2 linked regions of the Notamacropus eugenii genome follow. The protein of the gene in region 2 interacts with the protein of the main gene of each other region in a pairwise test. Links are inferred from orthologs where the notes say so. Each region holds a gene or a part of one and is shown on either strand. Other genes may lie near its edges.

Evidence for each region.
Region 1: the proteins of STX5 (region 2) and STX3 interact in binary tests that used the Homo sapiens proteins (3 or more experiments, as listed by UniProt). The link is inferred for Notamacropus eugenii from reciprocal best matches to the Homo sapiens genes STX5 and STX3.

What each region holds. Positions count from the first base shown.
Region 1 is NC_092873.1:5,641,076-5,648,082, reverse strand, and holds the start of STX3 (syntaxin-3), read right to left. Parts: upstream 3,011-7,007; 5' UTR 2,906-3,010; coding exon 2,876-2,905; intron 1-2,875. UniProt on the Homo sapiens protein: Potentially involved in docking of synaptic vesicles at presynaptic active zones. Apical receptor involved in membrane fusion of apical vesicles.
Region 2 is NC_092873.1:15,894,021-15,901,572, forward strand, and holds the start of STX5 (syntaxin-5), read right to left. Parts: upstream 3,009-7,552; 5' UTR 2,818-3,008; exon of another isoform or gene 2,690-2,817; intron 529-2,689; exon of another isoform or gene 432-528; intron 1-431. Other genes in the region: TEX54 (testis-expressed protein 54), read right to left, coding at 3,374-3,612, 3,715-3,778. UniProt on the Homo sapiens protein: Mediates endoplasmic reticulum to Golgi transport.

The DNA of each region.
Region 1 (7,007 bases), about 10 Mb from region 2:
AGGTTATGCAAATGGCCTAGTGTTAAATGATCTAGAAATACTCAAAAAGAAATCAGTAAGAAATAACTTCCCCAAGCCAGGCCAGGTCCCTTTCTGGCACATCTGGGTATTCATGGTGAATAAGACATTCTATCCCTACATTTCACTTACTGACTACAGGTACTCCAGAAGTCTGGCCTGAGAGTCTGTGGCTATGATGACTTACTCAGGGACCCAGTATCAAAGATAAGGGAAGACTCAGGCCTTGTGACTGTGACTTCAGAAAGAACCTAAGTCCTGGAGTAGGGGCAGGATGCTAATTGTGAAGGCCCTGATGTTTACCACCATGCCTGGAACCAATGAAGCTTCCAGGAAAAGGAGCTGGGTTTATGTAATTCTCTCTGAACTGTTGTCTCACTCAGAGTTATGTGTAATTTTTCTTTTCTTTTTGGCAGTGGGAATGGTTCAGACTTCTGATATCATGGATGCGGTCACTTCCTGTGTGAGAGCGCCCTCCTCCAATGCAGATGCACAACTCCTCTGTAATTTATAGTCTTAAGAGAATTAACCTGGGGATACTGAGATCACATAACTAGTATATCAGAGTCTGGATTTGAATTCAGATCTCTGTTCCCCCAAGGTTTGCTCTCCATCCACTATGCCTTGCTTTCTCTTAATATTCAAAGCTGAAAGGGACCAAGAGAAGTGGGCTGCTTTAACTCAAAGTTAGTTGACAGCAGAGCTGAGCCTAGAACCTAGAGCTCCCTTCTCCCACAAATCTTCCATTCCCCCCAACCCAAGCCTCTCTAGAGCAGCTCTTTGGGTCCCATGAAAGCAAGTACCATGGAGAGAGGCTGAATCGAGAGTCAAAAGACAGGGGGTGGAACTCTGACTCTTCTACTTACTACCTATATGACCTTGGACAAGTAATTTTCCCTCCCTGCGTCCTCATTAAAATGAAGGGGCTAGATGGAAGGACCCTCTGACTCTATGCCTGTGATCATAGAAATGATCTTCTGTGATCACTTAGGTCCCTTAATGTTACAACCAGGTCTTTTCCCACATGTGTGTGTATCTCTCTCTCTCTCACACAGACACAGACACACACACACACACACACACACACACATACATTCACATACACACCTTTGTTGTTCAGTCATTTCAATAGTGTCAGACTCCTCGTGACCCCATTTGGAGATTCCTTGGCAAAGATACTGGAGTGGTTGCCATTTCCTTCTCCAGTACATTTTACAGATAAGGAAACTGAGGCAACAGGGTGCAGTGACTTGCCCAGGGTCACATTGCTACTAAGTATCTGAGATCAGAGTTAAATTCAAGGAGATGAGTCCTCCTGGGTCCAAGCCTGGCACTCTATTGCCACACCTCATTACCCTTCACCTTGGTCTATCTCATACCTAACCTCCTCACCCATCTCATGGAATCCCATGCTTCAGTCAAGACTGTGCTCCCCACTGCCTTCTCCAAGCCTTTCCTGATCCTACTAGCTGCTAATACTCTCCCTTTAACTTCATTCAATTTATTTAGCATGCATTTTGTATGGAACCTTTATGAGAAGCAGTATGGTGTCATGGTTAGAGCTCCAGTCCTGGCACCCAAAAGACCTGAATACAAGTCCTGGATTTCACTTGTATGCTGGTCATGTGACCCAGCACCATGGGCAATTCCATAAGATGATATGTGGCAACCTACTTTGGTAGAGAAGCTTCCTCACCTGGCAGTTCCCTATATAGGTGAAATCACAGGTCCAGTCCTAGCCCCAATTTGTAAAATATACTTATACGGGTAGATATTCTTGACCCCAATTGAAAGTAAGCTCCTTGAGGGTAGGAACTGCTTCAGGCTATCTTTGTCTCTCCATCACCTAGCACAGGCATTTAATAAACACTTGGAGCATTGTTAATTTGCAATTTCTTGTTGGAAACAATTGAACAGATAGGATCTTTCTTGCTTCTCCCTGGAGTTGTTAAAACAACTGAAGAGACCCCTCAGATGACTTGGAATGTGTCCAGTCCTAACTAAAGGGAGGTAACAGACATTCTATGCCTACAGGCCCCTGGGAACAGAGGGGACCTTCCGACCACGTCCCCACCAGGATTCCCCACAAAGTCCCACGACAAACCCTGGCCCTTGTTTTTGTCCTTCTAGGCTCCTCAGGCGAACCTTGAGGAAACCTGGCACTTTGGTTTCATTTGAGTCCCTACAATAAGTTCAGGTCAAAGGGCAATGAAGGACTTGGCCAAGGCTAGGGAGGAGAAAGAAAACTAAATCTTGGACAACAGAAACTCAAGGAGGGAATCAATAACCAGAGGAGATAGCGAGGAGCAGAGCCCAAGCGGCTAGCCAGACAGGACTTTTTTTTAAGTTGAAGGAGGCGTCAGCTGCTTCATGGGAGAGGCTGGAGGAAAAGAAGAGTGCCTGGAGGAGAAAGTCAAGAGCGCCCAAGGGAGAAAACAGAGAGAAGGAGTGACCTGAATGACCTCTTTGTTCTCCCCCAGGAAGACGTAGCCCCACCGCCCTCTACCCTCTGCCAGCCAGGGGTTGGGATGCAACCATTCACCCATTCAGAGTTTCAGAGAAGCTGGACAGACGGAAAGGGGTGTGGGGCAGGGACGGTCGGGGAAGTAGCAGCTTCTCTGGCATGAATCAGCTGGCACAGGACACAGGGTGGGAGGGGAGCCCGCAGCACCCGGGGAGAGGGGATCAGACGACTGGAGAAGGGGAACGGCAACCTCCCACCCCTCTAGCACGTACACAGCCTCCTGTGCTGTGGTGCCTGGCCCTCCCACTCCCCCCCCCCCCAAAGAAAGGGGACTGCCCTCCACCTCCACCTTCTCCTCCTCCCGGGTGCACCCCTTGGGGCAACGGCACTCACAGCCTTCAGCTGCTCCAGCCGGTCCTTCATCTTGGCCAGGGGAGCCTCCCGGGAGCCCCCTCCCTGGCGCTGGCAGGCAGTGGAGCTCCGCCCAAAGGAGCACTGCTAGGTGAGCGCCGTTCAGGGGAGCACGGCCCAGGTGAGCACGGCCCAGGGGAGCGGCAGGAAGTGGCCGCCCGAGCTTGGCCGCAGGTGAAGGAAGAGGAGAAGGGTGAAGCCGCGCCTCGAGAGGAGCGTCGCAGTCCCGCTGAGGACTGACAGCCCGCTCCCCACCTCTCCGGCCCCAGCCCGACAGTGCTGTCTCAATCCGCCCCCGAGCCTCGGAGCCTGATCCCCGGCCGGCCAGGCGGGCGCAGGACTGCAGCCGGACTAATCCTCCCGGACACTCTAGGAAGGGCGGAGGCTGGCGGGGCCCCGCCCCTTCTACCTGGGCACCGCCCACTGCTCAGAGGCCTTAAAGAGCCAGCCGCGGCCCACAGGCTTCCCCACTCCCACCCCCCGTCCCCACCTCCCCCCGCCCCGCGCTCCTCTTCCTCCTTTTCCTCCTTCTCTCCTTCCTCCTCTTCTCTTCTCATTCCCATAGCCTCAACATTCTCCTCCTCCTCCGCAGCCAAGGTCTCCCGGGAGACGAAGAAGGAATCTGAAACGTCATCGGAGGTTGGGAGAAGGCAGCAGTGGAGTGTAGAGCAGAGTGATCTTTGAGGTCCACGGGCGTGGACACTGAGGCCCACTGAGGCCCCCTGAGGTGAGGAGACTTGCCGTGACTTCACAGCTAATGCATTCAAACTGGGGTCCTCCATGCGTCAGCTCTGACCCTAACCCTAATTCTGGGGCTATTATTCAACCGGAGAAGCATTTCTGCCAGATACCTAGGCACCGTGCTGGTGCAAAGACAAAAAAGCAACCAGTCCCTGCCCTCAACAAGTTTATATGGGGAAAAATATGTACACATATAAGTGAATGCCAAAGCAATTTGGAGGAAGGGAGGCACTGGCATCTGTCTCAGGGAAGGGCCTGGCAGAAGTGAGGAACCTGTGGCCTTGAGGCCCATTGTGGCCCTCTAGGTCCTCAAGTGTGGCAGACTTGAGGACCTAGAGAGCCACCTGGGGACTTGAGGTCACAGGTTCTCCACCCCCTCTCTCAAGAATGAAATACTTCTTGAACTGAACTTCCATGGATTTTTAGAGCCAAAGGCAAAAACAAAAAATGGGGGAGGGGACCATTCCAGGAATAGGGGCTGCCTATCAGAGATGATGTATTCTGTCCAATTTGGCTTGACCATACAGCATGGGAAAGGAAATAATATACAGTAAGGCTGGAAAGGTCTGCTGGCCCTAGGTGAGCTGGAAATGTCGGGGGAGTGGAGGACAAGCTGAAAAGGATATTAGAGAATTGGAAAGAAGGTAGCGAGAGTCCCCAGGGGAAGAAAGAAAATTTTAGAGGGTAGGAGAAAGCAGAACCCCATGGGGTTGGAAGTAAATCAGAAAAGGATGGTAAAGGACTGGTGAAGAGAGAAGAGTGGTCTCCAGGAAGTGGAAGAGCTAACAGAACTGGAGAACAGCAAATATGTCAAACACACCAGCTAAACTGGCCCTAACTTCTCTTCCTGGTAGAAGGTCAACATCAATGGGCACCTGCTGGAATAGATGCATGAGTCACAGAATCAGAATGCTTTGAAGTGTAAAGAAATTTCAAAGATCCTCTCTGCTCATCCGAGTCCCTTCTTTTATACTTGCCAAAACTAAGGTCCAAGGAGATAAAAATGACTTACCAAGGATCACCCTAGCAAGTTGGTGGTAGAAGCACATTCTCAGGGGGCTAACTGGCTCCCATTCCCAAGCTCTTTCCACTCTGCCAACATTTCTAAAAGCATTGGATTAAAAGTAAGCTCTCCTCCTTCATTAAAGAGCTAGCTATTGTTGGTTATTCTCTGCTGCCTTCTCCCAGAGGCTTTTTCTCCTGTCTGGATACTGTCTTAGTCCTAATCTTTGCCTTGTTACCAATTCCCTACAGCAGAAAAATTAGAAAGGTCACTGAGGAATGTTCTATTTCCCTTTGGCTGCACTAAGTTGTAACAGAAAGACCACTGGTTCTGGTTCTGGTTAAATTTTGGCTCAGCTATATCATTGTGACCTCAGACAAATCACTTGTCTGGGCCTCAGTTTACTCATCTGTAAAATGAAGAAGTTAGATTAGATAATCTCTAAGGACTTTGAACTTGCAGTTTTTGGTCTTTATGATCTGCAATGCATTTTCAGACTATTCCTCTTCACCCTAGAAGTTTCACTTCACCCCCTAGATTCTCACTTGGGAAGTATACTCTGCCCTCTGGCTTCTCCCTCTGACTGGCTGGTTTCTCCCCAAAGTCCCATTTCAAGGAGGATGCTCAAGTCAGCCATGTCTCCATTCCTTGCCATATTGTGCTCACTTCTAGCAGGCCAGCCCCACCCCCTCATGTTTCAGCTTCCCTTCATGTGTTATTTCCCCACTTTGAATGGTAGGTCCTTCAGGGCAGACGTTGTCTTTCTTTCTATCCATATTTGGTTTCCCAGTCCTTGGCACAGTGTGTGGTACATAGGAAACAATAAATACTTGCTTGACTTGACTTTATTCCATCATCCGAGGCTGCTCTGCTCACCTGAGGCCTCTGGCCAGCTCGACTATCATTGCTCATTAAAGGGGAAGTATTTTCATGCACATTCTACCAGATGTTGCCTGTTCACCAGCCTATCTGACAATTTATGAAATAGGTAGTATAGTGGAGTAATCATCGTAACTGACATTTAGATAATACTTTTAGGTTTTCAAAGAACTTTACGTAATTTGTGGCACAATAGAAAAAGAGCTGGACTCGGAGTCTAGAGGACCTGGGTTTGAATCTTTCCTCAGACACTTCCTTGCTGTGTGACCTTGGGCCAGTCACAACCTCACTGATCATGTTTTCTGACCTATTAAATGGGGCTAATCCTAGCACAAATCAAAGGAGATAGTGTGTGCAAAGTACTTAGTAAATTGTAAAGTATTGTGGATATAAAAGTTACAACTTATTATCTCATTGAAGATGGTAGAAAACTGGGGGGGAAAAGCCTAAAACTCAGTCAAGTGATCTGAGATCCTGGCACAGTCCTACAAGTCATGTGACTTTAGGCAAACAAGTCCTGGCCCAGTTGTTGTTACCTAGGATAGAGAGCTGAGCCTGGAGTCAGGAAGACATGAATTCAAATCATCCTCACACACTAACTGTGTGACCCTGGGCAAATCACTTACTCTGTGCCTTGATTTCCTCAACTGAAAAGTGGGAATGGCACCCACCTTGAAGGGCTGTTGGCAGAACCAAATGAGAAAATATTTGTAAAATAATTGTGTTTAGAACAACGTCTAGCATGTGTAACAGCTTCTTCTCTCCCTTGGCCCCAGTTTCCCACCTCTTTAGAATAGTGGGTTCAGGCTAAATCAAAGCTAAATTTCCTCCAGGGTCATTCTTTGGTTCTGCTACATTTGTCCTTTGCTCTCAAAGAGAATCATGGTATCAGGAAGGTGATATCATGACATGCAAGTGAATTAGATTTAAGTGAAGGAGGACTGTGCCTCCAGCCTCATTTCAGTGGTCAGATATAGATCAGGATGACTGGAGATGGCCCAGGATGCAATGGGAGACCTTGGCCTTTTTAAGCTAAGGTCTAGAACAAGTCTCAGTTTGACTATGATTCAGGCTTTCAGATTGACCTTCTGGTACAGGGAAAAGAACACTGGCCTTTAAATCAGTGCATTTGGATTGGAATCTTACCTCTAAAACTTAGCACCCATGTGCCCTTGGAAAAGTCATTTAACTGCCCTGGGTTTCAGTTTCCTTAACTCAAATAAGGGATGGAGGGAGTTAGACCTGTGGCCTCAGAAGTCCCTTTCAGCTCAAAATCTATTGTTCTAGAGTCTCCTGCAATTACAATACAGCCCATCTGTCCTTTCCTGGGGTAGGAAGGTGGGGTGGGGGAGGGCTACCCAAAAATAGTTCACTAGGATAAACTTTAGGGCAAGGCAGTACACAGACAAATAGAGGACTAACACAGGACATTGCAAATTGTATAGGTTGCTGCTTAAATGCTTGTTGAATTCAACATAATATATGTTTATA
Region 2 (7,552 bases):
TCCCATTCTAGAGTGCTCAGAAGCTCACAAGAACTCTGGCAAGGACGCACTGTCCAAGGGTTCAAGAGTCTCCTTTTACAGACAGGGAAATGGAGGCTGAGACTTGACCTAGGATCATCAGATCATACAGTAACAGAGGTGTCAGGACAAGAACAGGGGATGGATGGACTGCAGCCAAGTCCGGGTCTTTGACAGGTTTTCCGTTCCTCCTCTCGTCCCTCCCCACACTCCCTCCAACTAGCCCCAGAAAAGGGGTGAAAGCATAGCATGATGAAATGGGACAAAGAATAACGAGGGTGGAGAGGATGGAAAAGGGGGGATTCAAAGAAAGGGTCAGGCAAAGGGAGCACAGATCCAGGAAGTGGAAGAGACTCGAATCCCTTTCCTTTACAGATGAGGCAACTGAGGCCCAGAGAGGGTAAGGGACTTGCCCGGGTCACACAGATGGCCCCTCTGAACACAGGGGCTCTCACTCCAAGTTCAAGGCGTCTGTGCTGTACATGCCAAAGGGAGAATGGGAGGAGAAATCTGAGGAAAGAAGAGATAAAGATAAGGAAGTGAACACAGAAATAAGAAAGCAAAAGCAAAGGAAGAAATGCAGAGGGGAGAGAGGAGTGCTGGGGGTAAGAATCAAAGAGAGAACAACAGAGAAAAGGAAGGAAGGAAAAGGAAGAGAAAAGTAAATGGGGAGAAGGGAAAGAAGGAGGAAGGAGAGGATGGGGAGGGGGAGAAGGGAAAGGAAGGAGGAAGGAGAGGATGGGGAGGGGGAGAAGGGAAAGGAAGGAGGAAGGAGAGGATGGGGAGGGGGAGAAGGGAAAGGAAGGAGGAAGGAGAGGATGGGGAGGGGGAGAAGGGAAAGGATGGAGGAAGGAGAGAATGGGGAGGGGGAGAAGGGAAAGGAAGGAGGGAGAGAATGGGGAGGGGGAGAAGGGAAAGGAAGGAGGAGGGAGAGAATGGGGAGGGGGAGAAAGGAAATGAGCATTTATTACATGCCAATTATGTGGCTGACACTGCTAAAAGCTCTTCTGAGATGTCTCATTTGAGAGGGAACCAGGGCTCCTATTATCTTTATTTTACAGAGGAGGAAACTGAAGTCACTGGGCCAGAGTCACCCAGTTAAGGAGTGTCTAAAATCACATTTTAACTGCAAGTTCCCTTCCACCTCCAGGTCCAGTTCCTATATACTTGTCACCTTGGAGGGCAAAAGGGGAAGAAGGGAAAGACAAGGGAGAAGGAATGGGGGGCTCCAGAGAGAAAAGTAAAAAGGGGGAAAGAAGGGAGGACAAAAAGGAACTGAGAGGAAAAGAGAATGGAACGAGGGGGAGAGAAGTAAGAGAGGGAATGGGGGAGGGGTTAGGAGAGAAGAGCAAGAAGGAAGAAATGAGAAAAGGGATGAAGCGAGGTGGGAAAGGAAGGGGGAGAGAAAAGAGAAAGAATGAGGGAGGGCTGAAGGAGAAAAGGAGGGGGAAAGCGATGGGGAGAATGGGGGAGGAGGGGAGAGCGGTGGGGGGAATGGGGGAGGAGGGGAGAGCGATGGGGGGGAATGGGGGAGGAGGGGAGAGCGATGGGGGGGAATGGGGGAGGAGGGGAGAGCGATGGGGGGGAATGGGGGAGGAGGGGAGAGCGATGGGGGGGAATGGGGGAGGAGGGGAGAGCGGTGGGGGGGAATGGGGGAGGAGGGGAGAGCGATGGGGGGGAATGGGGGAGGAGGGGAGAGCGATGGGGGGGAATGGGGGAGGAGGGGGAGAGCGATGGGGGGAATGGGGGAGGAGGGGAGAGCGATGGGGGGGAATGGGGGAGGAGGGGAGAGCGGTGGGGGGGAATGGGGGAGGAGGGGAGAGCGGTGGGGGGGAATGGGGGAGGAGGGGAGAGCGGTGGGGGGGAATGGGGGAGGAGGGGAGAGCGATGGGGGGGAATGGGGGAGGAGGGGAGAGCGGTGGGGGGAATGGGGGAGGAGGGGAGAGCGGTGGGGGGAATGGGGGAGGAGGGGAGAGCGGTGGGGGGAATGGGGGAGGAGGGGAGAGCGGTGGGGGGAATGGGGGAGGAGGGGAGAGCGGTGGGGGGGAATGGGGGAGGAGGGGAGAGCGATGGGGGGGAATGGGGGAGGAGGGGAGAGCGGTGGGGGGGAATGGGGGAGGAGGGGAGAGCGATGGGGGGAATGGGGGAGGAGGGGAGAGCGATGGGGGGGAATGGGGGAGGAGGGGAGAGCGGTGGGGGGGAATGGGGGAGGAGGGGAGAGCGGTGGGGGGGAATGGGGGAGGAGGGGAGAGCGGTGGGGGGAATGGGGGAGGAGGGGAGAGCGGTGGGGGGAATGGGGGAGGAGGGGGAGGGGCAGAGATTAAGGAAAATGGGGAGGAGTAAGGGAGGGGGAGAGATGGGGGCAATGAAGGAAGAGGGCGAAGAGACCAGAGGGGCAGGAGGAGAAAGGGGGCGGGAGGAAGGATGGGGGAAGGGCTGAAAGAGAGCCGGAGGAAGGCTCAGGGGGTGGAGAGGGAAGAGGGGTCTCCGTTCTGGGGCTCCCAGGAGACAGGATGCTGGTCAGGGGTACCCTCCAAAATGTTTATCTGACATCGGAAGTCCCGCCCCAGACTAAACCCCGCCCCCTCCGCGGCTTTGGGCAACGATTGGCTGCTGCCGCTATCCTTCACGGAAGGCGGCGCTCTGATTGGGTAGGGGAGGCATCGCTCACCAGCGGCTGGACCGGCAGAAGTCCCCGGTCTCCCCGGTCGGTCGTCGTCCCCCCCATCCCCGCCCCACCGAGAGCCGGCCGCCCTCGGCCCCAGCGTCTTCCCCAGGCTCGTCCGGGTCGTCTCCTACCTCCGCGTCGCTGCCTGCTGCCGCCACCTCCGCCACCCGGGCCGGTACTGTTTCTTCCCCGGGGACGAGCCAGAGAAACGGGACCAGAGACCAGAGGTTGACACGTCACCTAGGCGTGGCCCCGCCCCAAAATGACGGCAGCGCGCCGACACGCCCCCCTCCGGCGGCGGAGGCCACGCCCCCGCATCAACAGTGACGGTCACGCCCACTCGCCCGGGAGACTCCTTGGCGACGCCCCTCCCCCGACAGCGACCCAGGCTCCCAGCATGCCACGCCCACCAGCCGGCTTAATCCCCTCCCCCAAGTCCCGCCTCCTCCCTCCTCCATGGAAACCTACGGCGCCACGCCCCTTGGGTTACGCCACAGCCTCCCGAAGAACCTTAAAGGGCTCGCCGCGCAGATTCGCGGCTCCTCCCCTTTCAGCTTAGGGGAAACTGAGGCCCCGCGCCCTCTCCCCCAGGCAGACCCGAGGCAGGCTCCACCTCCCGACTCCAGGTCACTACTTTTATTCTCTTCTCCGGGGGGCGGGGCGGGGCGGGGCGGGGCTCCGCCGGCGTCATCGGGGCTCCGGGTCTCGGCCCAGATCGGGCGACGTGAGCTCCTCGAACTGCTGCGGCTCGGGGGCCTCCGGGGTCCGCCCGGCGGAGCCCGACTTCGCTCCGGACGCGGTCCTCACCGCGGGCTGCTGCTGGCGCGTGGAGCCCCGCCGGCTGAACATGGACAGCCTCCGCCAGAGCACCGTGATGATCAGGCTGTCGTTGGACTTGTGGGACCCCTCGTAGCGGCTGGCCGGTCCTGCGGGGCGGGGAGGGAGCCGCGCTGCCCGTCTGCACCTCGGGGCGTTCCGGGCCTCGGCCAGCCCCCCCAGCCCGGGGCAGCCGCCCCCCCACGCCCTACCTTCCATTTCTTCCCCGGGGCACACGTCATCGTGACTCCTGCTCTTGGACCTGGCACAGCCCATGTCCCCTCCGCCGACCTGGAGGCCGGGCAGCCATCGCTCTGGCCGGAGGCCCGAGCTTTTGTGACATCAGAGCCCTCCCCACCCCCGCCCCCCAAGCGGGCTGCCGCCGCAGGGTCCCGGGCCGGGCTCTCGCAAGGAGGAGGCAGGGTCACAGAAGGGGGTGACTTCTTTATTTACAAAGGGGGGGCAGAGGTGGGGGGCCCCCCAACGCCGGTTGCTGCTTCTTCCCCACAGGCTGCCGTTTCCTCTTGGCCCCTGCGGTCACGGGCTCCAACGAATCCCACAACTCATCAGTCTCGGTTTCTTCGGAGGGGACTGGGACAGGATCTCTGGGCTCATCCTGGTGAGCGAAAGGGAAGGTCTATGGGGAGACTGCCCAGAAGCACTGAGATCCAGGGCAGGCCTTTCCAATTTCCCCAGTGCCCTCCCCCTCCTCCTCCCCATTCACTGCCCAGAGCAGCCACCCTTACTGTAGGGGAGGCCTGGACCTGATCAGTCTCCCCATTTAGGGGGTCTCCATTTCCTCCGGGATGAGCTGATCAGGCCGACCCCGCTCTGGTTTCATATGACAGCTTATGTCTCTCAAGATCGTAGCTTAGAGTTGGAAGGGAACTCAGAAACCTTCTAGTCTAATGCCCTCATTTTACAACTGAGGAAACTGAGGCACGGGGAAATTAAAGGAAGGGAACCCATGTTAAGCAACTCCTCTGTGCCAGGCACTGCACTGCCTCTATGTGCATATGTGACTCTCATCTGATCCTCACAACCTAGGGAGGATCACAGTGTCAGCCCCATTTTACAGCTAAGGAAACTGAGGCAAACAGAAGGGAAGTGACATGGCCAGAGTCCTGGCTAATCAGTGTCTGGTTCTGGACTCTGAGCCCAGTGCACTGGAGTGGCTTCTCCTTTACCAAGGTCAGAGGGGCACAAAGTGGGGGGTAGGGTTTGAGGAAGGAGAGGACCCAGGTCCAGGGCCACTGCTCCCTCCACACCAGCAGCCTTGTCTCCCACTGATCTGTACACAAAGACAACCTCCCTCTTTCTCCCCTTAGCACCTGAGGCAGGTCCTCAGCTAAGCCCCTGCGCCACCATGTTTAACACTGGCACCCCTGGCACCCAGTAGACATGATGTGGTTCTCACCTCCCAGTTGTCCCTTCCTGACAAGAGGAGGCAGTTCAGTCGGGACTTGAGGTAAACCTAAAGGAGACAGTTAAGGGGGTGAGATTGAGAAGCGGGGAGGGGCTCCTGGTCTTCCTCCCCAACCCCAGAAGCCTGAGAAAGTGTGGATGAGCAGCACAGTTAGGGCACTTGGCAGAAGGGGCTGAAGAGAAGTCCAGGGGGGTGGGGGTGGGGTGGGGGTGGAGTTACCTTGTGCTCCAGTCCTCGAGGTTCTCGAAGTCGATGTATCCGCAGAACTCGGTCCAGCCCACAGGAGGCAAGAATGGGCTGAGTGGGATGGCACTGCAGACCCCGAACACTGCCTGCCAGACCCTTTAAGCAGCACACCAGGCGCCCTGGGGAAGACCAGGAAGGGCCAAGAAGCTACTGCTGCCCAGCCTCTCCTATGACCCAGACTGCCCCCCAGGCCGTACCCCCCAACTCACCTTGCCGAAGGTCAATTTCTGCTAGCTGCCCATGGGTGTTCCCCACCACCACAGAGCTGGGGAAAGAAACCAGAGGGCAGGCAGGGATCGACATGAGCTGGTTTTCAAAATCTCCTTCATCCCCAGAGCCCACAAACATCCCTGCCCCCATCACTCACTTGCCCCCTGGAGTAAGGGTCATTGCCATCAGGGGATACTCTCCATAGGTGGTTTCCAGCACTGGCCGCCGCTGTGGGGAGGCCGGGTCATACACTCGGACCTGAAAGGATACTGGTACATTAACAGTGTGAAGTGGAAAGAGCATCAGACTTGGAGGTGGTGAGGCAGGTTACAAACCTTAACCCTGAGACACAGCTACCCTCTGTCTCTGAGCAAATACCGTTCTCTAGGCATCAGTTTCCTCATCTGTAAATAGGGCTGGGGAAAGGTTGTTCCAATTCTATCATCTCCAGGATCCTCCAAGGACCTAGAATCTGTGCAAGCACACATCTGTGACTTCAACTCCAGCTCTCCGTTAGCAGTCATAAAGTAGTCAGGGAACTAGACTGGTCTTTTTTTGTTAAACAGATTTATTTATAGTATTTTCAACATTCCCTTTTATAAGATTTTGAGCTCTAAATATTCCTCCCCCTTTCACTCCCTCCTCCTCAAGATGGCATGCCATCTGATACAAGCTATACATCTATGATCATGTTAAACATATTTCCACATCAGTCTTGTTTTGAAAGAATCAGAACAAAAGCCTTGAGAAAGAGAAAAAAACAACCCCATAAAGAGAAAATAGTGAGCTTCCATGTGCATTCAGATGCCACACTTCTTTCTCTGGATGTGGAGGGCATTTTCCGTCATGAATCTTTTGGAGTCGTCTCAGATCGTTGCATAGCTGAGAAGAGCTAAATCTATCAGTCAATCATTGCACAACGTGGCTGTTACTGTGTACAGCATTCTCTTGTTCTGCTCTTCACTCAGCATCGGCTCATTCAAATCCAGGTTTTTCTGAAGTCTGCCTGCTCATCATTTCTTATGGAACATAGTATTCCATTACCTTCATATATCACAACTTGTTCAGCCATTCCCCAATAGATGGACATCCCCTCAATTTCCAATTTTTGGCCACCACAAAAAGACCTACTATAAATAGTTTTGTACATGTGGATGTAGATCCCATTTTTCTGATCCCAGGCAAAGAAGTGGCACATTGCTGGGTCAAAGGATATTCAGTTTCGTAGCCCTTTAGGCAATAGTTCCAAATTGTTCTCCAGAATGGGTGGAGCAGTTCACAACTACACCAACAATGCATTAGCGTTCTAATTTTCCCACATCTTCTCCAACATTTATAATTTTCCTGTTTTGTCATGTTAGCCAATCTGATAGGTATGATGTGGTACCTCAGAGTTGTTGTAATGTGAATTTCTCTAATCAGCAGTGATTTAGAGCATTTTTTCATATGACTGTAGGTAGCTTTAATTTTTTCATCGGAAAAATTTCATATATTTTGACAATTTCTCAACTGGGGAAGAGACTGGTCTTTGTGGCCTCAAAATGCCAGTCAGAGAGCCTTGAGTTCTGAGGGAAGAGATGGAGCCATGACATGATGGATCTAAACAAGGAACCAAAGATGAGGTGAGTGGAGTAAACAGCCTAGAGAGGAGTGTCTGAGTCAGAAAACCACAAGGCACTGTTCTCAGGCAGCCTAGACAGAGTCCAGTTTGCATAAGGTCTTCAGCCTCATGAGAGGAAGTTCTGAAAGAGAACAGAGGAGAACCTGGGTTCTCAGAACAAAGCACTATCAGGTCACTCTGAGTGAAGGCAGGAGAAACTAACAGGCCCACACGTCCTCACTGCTGGTAAAAGATAGAGGATCGCCAGCCCACCCAGTTCTTTCAAAAGCAGCAAAGACCCAGAGAGGAGGAAATATAGGATCTGTTTAATGACAGGGCCTGGTACAGAACTTCTGGCTTCCTACACTGGACTAGAAAGATCATAAACTATGACTAGGCTGGGTTTATACCAGCAATGTAGTTCACTGAAGTGGTTCAACATAAGGAAAACTATTAATAAAATGATCACATTAATAATATGACATATTGAAGTGGTAATCATCAAAACAACCTGGTACTGGTCAAGAAACAGAATGTTGGATCAGCAGAATGGATTAGGTACAAAAGA